2 linked regions of the Daphnia pulex genome follow. The protein of the gene in region 1 purifies or fractionates together with the protein of each later gene. This does not show direct contact. Links are inferred from orthologs where the notes say so. Each region holds a gene or a part of one and is shown on either strand. Other genes may lie near its edges.

Evidence for each region.
Region 2: the proteins of syntaxin-17-like (region 1) and vesicle-associated membrane protein 7-like purify together in Drosophila melanogaster (affinity purification with western blotting; 4 studies listed by BioGRID, with this or other methods). This does not show direct contact. The link is inferred for Daphnia pulex from reciprocal best matches to the Drosophila melanogaster genes Syx17 and Vamp7.

What each region holds. Positions count from the first base shown.
Region 1 is NC_060017.1:5,925,272-5,928,733, reverse strand, and holds syntaxin-17-like, read left to right. Parts: upstream 1-1,338; 5' UTR 1,339-1,479; coding exon 1,480-1,602; intron 1,603-1,668; coding exon 1,669-2,061; intron 2,062-2,126; coding exon 2,127-2,488; intron 2,489-2,556; exon of another isoform or gene 2,557-2,577; coding exon 2,578-2,662; 3' UTR 2,663-2,738; downstream 2,739-3,462.
Region 2 is NC_060018.1:6,537,085-6,540,973, reverse strand, and holds vesicle-associated membrane protein 7-like, read right to left. Parts: upstream 2,205-3,889; 5' UTR 2,118-2,204; intron 1,983-2,117; 5' UTR 1,913-1,982; intron 1,844-1,912; 5' UTR 1,837-1,843; coding exon 1,630-1,836; intron 1,565-1,629; coding exon 1,427-1,564; intron 1,365-1,426; coding exon 1,274-1,364; intron 1,187-1,273; coding exon 1,119-1,186; intron 1,049-1,118; coding exon 956-1,048; intron 807-955; coding exon 735-806; 3' UTR 589-734; downstream 1-588. Other genes in the region: ribosomal RNA-processing protein 8-like, read left to right, coding at 20-179, 241-317, 381-588; uncharacterized protein LOC124188813, read right to left, coding at 2,596-3,062, 3,128-3,220, 3,285-3,327.

The sequences.
Region 1 (3,462 bases):
AGTGGTTAGTTAGGGAAACGGGGCCGCAGAAAAGAAGGGAGCCCAGATATGAACTTGTAATTTATCTAAAAACTACACAATTGATCAGTCTTGAATTACAGCATCCTCTCGTCAGTTTCACCATCCGATGGGTCAGTCTTTGGAAAGGCGACGACGGATTCACCTGAAAAGAGATTAAAGTAAGATTTTATTAATAACGATGCGTTGAGAAACAAATCAACAAAAAACAATGGAGAGCACTTCAAAAATATTGAATCAAATCAGCAAATCACAAATATGCACTTATTGTTTTCTTATGCCATATCCTATAGTTCAGGAAAAATTACGATTTTGCCCGAATATCTGATATTCGACTGTTAGTTCTTTTGGGCATCAAATAAGTACTAAATTAAGTACTGACTCTTTTTAAATCCGAAAGTAGACAAGCAAATTACATGAGACTACCAAGTGAGCTTTGTAGCTTACGGTCAGTTATCACAATTATCTAACGTAATAACTGCCGATAGTCTTATATGTCGATAGAATTGCGTAAAATAAAAGAAACTGAAACAGCGAAACTATTGTTTTTTCTGACTGATGAAAAACGATCTAAGCCATCGTCTAGCCTTGTAAACAAGAGATATTTAAAGTTTTAAACAGCAAAATTAAAAAGATCCATGCTCTAGCTAAATCAAGACTTATACTAAAATAAGAAACAATCATAACAAACAAAAACATAAAAAAACCTAACACTCACGCAAATTATACTGCCACATTATCACAACCAAAGTTCTTTCTTTTAAGGCACCGTTCTCTGGACAAAATATTTTCCAAAATTCTGATCAGAATCAAAAGAAGAAGTAAAAGGAATTAGTATAAACTTTACAGCACAACTTACAGTAAAACTTACACCACGAATATGAAGAGAATTTCAGTTGGATATTTTGCATTTGTCCTTGATTATCTTTGGTTGCAATTGAAGAACAACCTGGATCATGCTATTTTCCTGGATTTTTTCCTAATGGACATGGATTTCACTGTTTCAAAAAATCAGATATCAAAAGAATTGATAAGTGTTGAGGAAATAAAAAATACAAATTGTTAAATCAACTAAGCGCAATACACACTTAATCTGCTTTACCACATTATGCTACTTAACAAACATTTTGAAATGCTAAAAAGCTCACTTTAAAAACTGCATCGAAACGTGAAAGACAGTAACTATAACCGTACACACTAACCATGGCAGTAGAAAGATCATGTGATGTGATTCGTCTACTACTAGATAGCTTAAGGTTGATTCATTTATTACTAGATGGCTTCTGTGTCAAAAATATAAAAGTTGATTCATTTATTACTAGATGGCTTCAGTGTCAACACAAGAACAGAAAGAACATAAACAAAGGCCGTTTTCAGTCGTAATAAGAAATAAGCTTACGAAATCCTTCAAGTGTGAAAATAAAAATCTATGTTTTCAGCATTGGTTATGTCAGTGAAATAATGTCAAAAGTTAACAGTTCTTTCAGAGTAAGAATATATGAATTACCTCTGAATCGCTTCGCAAATGTTGCGTTGCCACAGTTTCTTGGACAGCTACAACAACATGAAAGCAACCTAAATAAAGTTGGTCTTTATGATTAATGCACATTTCTATTATTATTTTATAATTTAACTGTTTCATTTGCATAGCATATCAAGGAGAAAGATTGGGACAAAGTACGAACTGAACAGCTAAAATTACAACAGGTTGCTTCTCAATTGCAAGCTGCTCTACGAGAATTAGAAGGAGTTGGATGTCAGTTGAAACCGGAAGATGAAAAGGAGTTTGAAAATAAAATTAGACCTTACAGAATTCAAGCTTTAAATGCTGTAAAAAAATTTAAACAAAACCCGAATGAAAACTTTGATTCCCATGTATCGGAAAGTGAACAAAAGCAACAATTGATGCTAAGTCAAGAACAGATTTTACCAGAAGAAATTGAAGTAGAGCAACGAAAAATTCAGCTTGAGACATATGAAGATTTGCAAAAAGATATAGAGGAGTTACACAACCTATTTTCAGAATTTGCTCAACAAGTTCATGTAAGTCTCCTTGATATATATATATTTTTTTTAAAACAATAACATTGATAAAACATTTAATGTAGACTCAAGGAAGTACAGTCAGCAACATTGAAAGCAATGTTGATGATGCTCTAGAAAATGTTAAAGAAGGACAACAGAATTTGGCCAAAGCTGCAAAGTTTAAGGCAACTATGTATCCAGTAACAGGAGCTCTTATTGGTACTTGTATTGGCGGCCCTGTTGGCTTTCTTGCTGGCTTAAAAATAGGTGGGCTTGCAGCACTTGGAGGTTCTTTATTGGGCTTTGCAAGTGGTCGTGGTTTAAAGAAATGGCAAGAATCGGTCGTTAATGAACCAGCTGAAAATTTAACCAAAAGTCAGTCATCTCCTGTTAATTTAGGCAATACTTCTGGATCAAAAACAGTTCCACACTCAATCAGCTTTAGGTAACTTTCTAAAATATTTATAGGGATTGATTAAAATAAAAATGGTAACATTTCTTTATTTTTTTTTAAAATCTATACGTCGTCACCAGTGGTTCACATCAGAAAGAAACGATGGCGATTGATTCCAAACGTGATGACTGCGACCGTGATCGACTACATCTAAAAAACCTATAAGTGGATTACTATATTTATCTGGACTGAAACTGTAATATAACGTTTGCGAAGTTTTAAAATGTCGTATTTATGAGTATTCTCTTGTAACGTGTTGACTTAGTTAGTTAAGTATATCCTACGTCTTGTTAGTGGGTGGACTCCTGTAGTTACAAGTTGGTCGTTCTCGATTGTTGGAAGAGGCGTAAAAATCTGATTCTCCTGGATCGAAATCTTAATTCCCGCAGGGAGACTAAGATGCAGTGAATTCTAAATCGAAGAAGTCAAACATTCCATGTTTTCGAATATTTGTCAAGTCAAAGAAGTTGGCGAAGCCAAAGAAGATTGTGAAATGTATAAAGTACGACCATAAGTAGAACTCGGCGCAACCCGAAGATTCCGATCGTGTGCAAACTAGCCTGTGTTTCGTATTGTAACACACTGCTCTTGAGAAACAAAGGGGATCAAGCCCCGCTTCCCCTGCCCTTCTAGAAAACGGCGGAGTTCGAAGAACTGGGTAAGTGGATGGCAAATCTGCAAATAACGTCCCGTCTTATTATTGCTCAGAACCACGAAATAAATAAAAGAGATCCAGCCAAGTATAGTAGGATTCCAAAAGAAATTGGATGGCAAATCAATAACCCGAAACTTGACAGAATACTTAGTAAAGAAGGCTGTAAAGAAGGAGCTTGATTGGGCATGGCTTTCCATTTAAAAGTTGAAAAAGTTTCACTTCAAGGAGTCGACACAATGAGTTTACAAACATCGCTCTCGCATAAAACAAGCCAAAGAGCATCGCGGTCAAATTATGGCATCCATGATGA
Region 2 (3,889 bases), on another chromosome or scaffold:
ATGAAAATTTTTTTTTTAGTCCTAGAAACTGGGTGATAGCTGATTTTGGTTGTGGTGAAGCTCAGATAGCAAACACCATTCCTAATAAAGTTCACTCTTTTGACCTTGTAGCAGCAAATGACAAAGTTACTGCTTGTGACATGGCTTCTGTTCCTTTGGCAACCAAAGCTGTTGATGTGGTATTTCAGCATTATTTATGCATTATAAATTTTGATCAAACAACAGATATTGCTTGTTCAGGTGGTCTTCTGCTTATCTCTCATGGGTTCCAACATACATGACTTTTTAAAGGAAGCTAATAGAGTCCTTAAAATTGGGTAAATGCTACATACAGATTTTAAAAAATAATAATCTTTATTGATGTAATTTTTAAATTACAGTGGTACTTTGTGTGTAGCTGAAGTTGAAAGCAGATGTAGCAATATTAATGATTTCTTGAAAACAATTGAACGTTTTGGATTCCAACTCAAAGAAAATAACGTTCAAAAATACTTTTTTCTCGCAAAGTTTAGCAAGATTCAAAACATGAGTCCCAAAGCAACTATGCCAAGAATATATTTGAAACCTTGTCTGTACAAAAAACGATGAATAGAAAAGTACACATAAATGTTGAACATCATAACAAAGAAACCGACTCATTATATGTTACGAATGTACAGAAACGTATTTGGTTGAAATAGAATGTTTGTTTTAAAAACTGAAAGAAAAATTAGATCACGCGCAGAATTTGTGCATCAACTATTTTGAATGCATGAATGCCAATTCAATCCTCCACATGCTATGCTAACGACAAAATACACAATAACCTACGGAAAAATAGATATTTTCAATTAGATTTCATTTAAAATATTATTCCGAATTTTAGAATGTAGTTCAGGTCGATAAATGGTAAAAAAAAAAAAATTACGAATGAAATAAAGATAGTTATTTAAACTGTAAAACAATTATAACATACCAAAATCACGGCAGCAGTAATTGCTGTTATTTTTATGTTTTTCCAGAACAAGGAATTAGCCAAATTTCGACTTGATTTCCGGAAAGTAACAGCCTAAAAACAATTTAAAATAACTTACTTGGTAAACCAAAGTAAAATTTAAAAATATCTAAAATATACATACTGACGCGCTGAGGCTTTCGGTTTTATTAACCAGTAATTCTAATCTTTCGCCACGTGCCGCTAAGGAATCTAATAATGAGCAAAATTAAATTAAATGGTATTATGTTACTACTGCTGGAGGTTGCAAATTCTTGCTGGCTCGTATTTACACTTTACCTATATTTTTCACCATTACATCTTTCAAGTCGTCCAATTCTCCTTGAACTTGAGAAACGGTATCGATATCTCGAGATTCAGAAAAGTGTTTCTGGTTTTAAAAAAAAAATCTCAGTAATGTCTGAAATAATTGAGAAGAATTTCACGACTTACCATTAGCCCTGCCAAAATTTTCGAAAACTCCGTGTTCATAGCATATGGTAGAGCAGAGTATGCATGGGCTCCAAAAGTATTTACAAATTTCTTTTTAACTTCATTCAAAAATAAAAATGCTCTTGAACGTTCAAATTCCTAAAATAAAGGTTTCTATTTATATATCATCTTCTACAATTGCAGACAATAAAAAAAAGATTTACATCATCTGAGATGCAAAGATAAATTATTCTGTCTTGCAAAATATAGTGGAACAAAAATGATCCATGAGAGTAGGTCATTTTTGAATCATCAAGTCCAATTTGAGCTAGAACTTGCTCTGTGATCTCAGAAAAGTTTCCAGTACAATTATTGGCAAATCTAGCCAAAACAGTGTTTCCTCTACTAACAACACTATATAACAGCGGCATTTTCCTTCTAAAAAATTAACATATGAGATTATGTAATAAAGACTAAATATTTTTTATGGGTCAACTAATCTCATACCAACAAAACTTTCTCGACGATTCAGACGATCTTCAATCCCATCAATAACTTGACGAACGTGTATAAAAAACTGCAGAGAAACTCACGATGGATTACAGAACTTATGAAGGAGCAGATATTATGACACTCAAAAGACGTTGCTATAGTTTTGGATAGTTGTAGGACGAATATAATTAATTTTTGTAAGTATTAAGGATTAAACAACCTATCTTAAATTATCAAATGACAATCCACTCCAGTCAATGACTCAATGTTGACTATTGTCGGAACCACGTTATAGAGTCTATGGTTTGCTCACTCACTAGAGCAGAGCAATAGATACCTGGTCGGTTCTCGGCCGTGTTGGCTTCCCTATCCCGGTTTCAGGGTAAACGTGGTCCGATTTGGAAAAATTGATGAGCGCCTCTAGTGAGTGTGTCAGGTACTACGTGAAGCCAGCCAATCAGGAAGGGTCTATGAAAAACTCATTGACCAATCACAGCTTACTTTTCTACAAGAAGTGAACAAAATAAAAAGGTAGAAGTATCCAACTGTCAAACCTCTAGGTCTTTTCTAAGTGTCCCAACATTCTTACATTTTATTGTTTGGTTGTGTAAATTGTTTATTCTTTGTAAGTGTCCAAACATTCTTACATTTTATTGTTTGGTTGTGTAAATTGTTTATTGTTCCGTTGACATAATACACTACTTCTTGTTTTGAAAATGTACACTTTTCACATTATAATTTTCATTTGGTAGTCGATCCATCGAAATGCAAAAAATCGTTTGTTTAATTTGATCAAAATACCATGTCCAATTCTTTGGTACCATTGATGAAGTTACTAGTGACTGAAATGTCACAAAATTAGACTTGAAATTAGTAGAGCTTGCTTCCATAGAAGGTGATGTAACTGTCGAATCATCAATGACAACAGCAACATTTTCGTTCATTACATCAGGAAGTGGATCAAAAATTGCTTCTTCAGCAGCCTGGTGAGTGTCCATTGATTCTTGAATAGTAGAGGTAGCTTCCATAGAAGGTGATGCAACTGTCGTATCTTCCATGACAACAGCAAGATTTTCCTTGATTGAATCTGGAAGTGGATCAAAAATTGCTTCTTCAGCAGCCTGGGGAATGTTGATTGATTCTTTAATAATTTCCATGGAGGGTGCTATCAGATAAAATTTAAAGCAATTGCTCTTATAAATAAAATGTAACGAGAACTATTATCAATACCTGTACTGTCAAATTTTTTTCTCTTAGACGTAGTAGGTATTTTGTCTACTTTTGGTCGTTTCCTTACTGATGCATTGCTAGCATTTGTTTCCACTACAATACATATTTAAGAATTGCGTTATTTGATATTAAACAAAATAAACATATTTAAAAATACCATTAAGGTTATTTCTCCATTTGAAACCATCAACATTTTGCATTGCTTGTCGACTAGGTGTATCTAAAATGAAAATGGTTCAGTTTCTGTGCTTTACAGATTATACAGGAAATGTAATATCAATACCATTTATCAGAAAATGTTTGGGAATTGCTCCAGCATTACGATTCCTACGTTTGAAAGGATGGAACACGTTCAAAATTTAAATCCCTGATTTGAAGTCACTTTCGTCAAAATGACGGGAGCAAATACGTGAGGTGCTCGTCAAATAACTACATGGAATTAGTTCTCGCCATTTAGATAATGAAGTTTTAGGAATTGCAAACAGGGTAACCTCGTTTTCTTTTTGATTTCCTTTGAAATATGTTGATTTACAACCAGGAACAGCACACCTGCCAACCATTTTTACAGAAATTATGGTTAGGCTTCATTCACGTAATACACGATAATGGCCGCCGTATTCACATATTACACAAAAATGGCCGCCGAAAGTATTATTTGAAAGTCAACGTCTTATCACTAGATGGCGCTGTTTCATTTTTACCACTTCACAACTTCTGACAAGCTCCGCCCTAAAATGTCTGAAAATCGGGGATACGTTTACC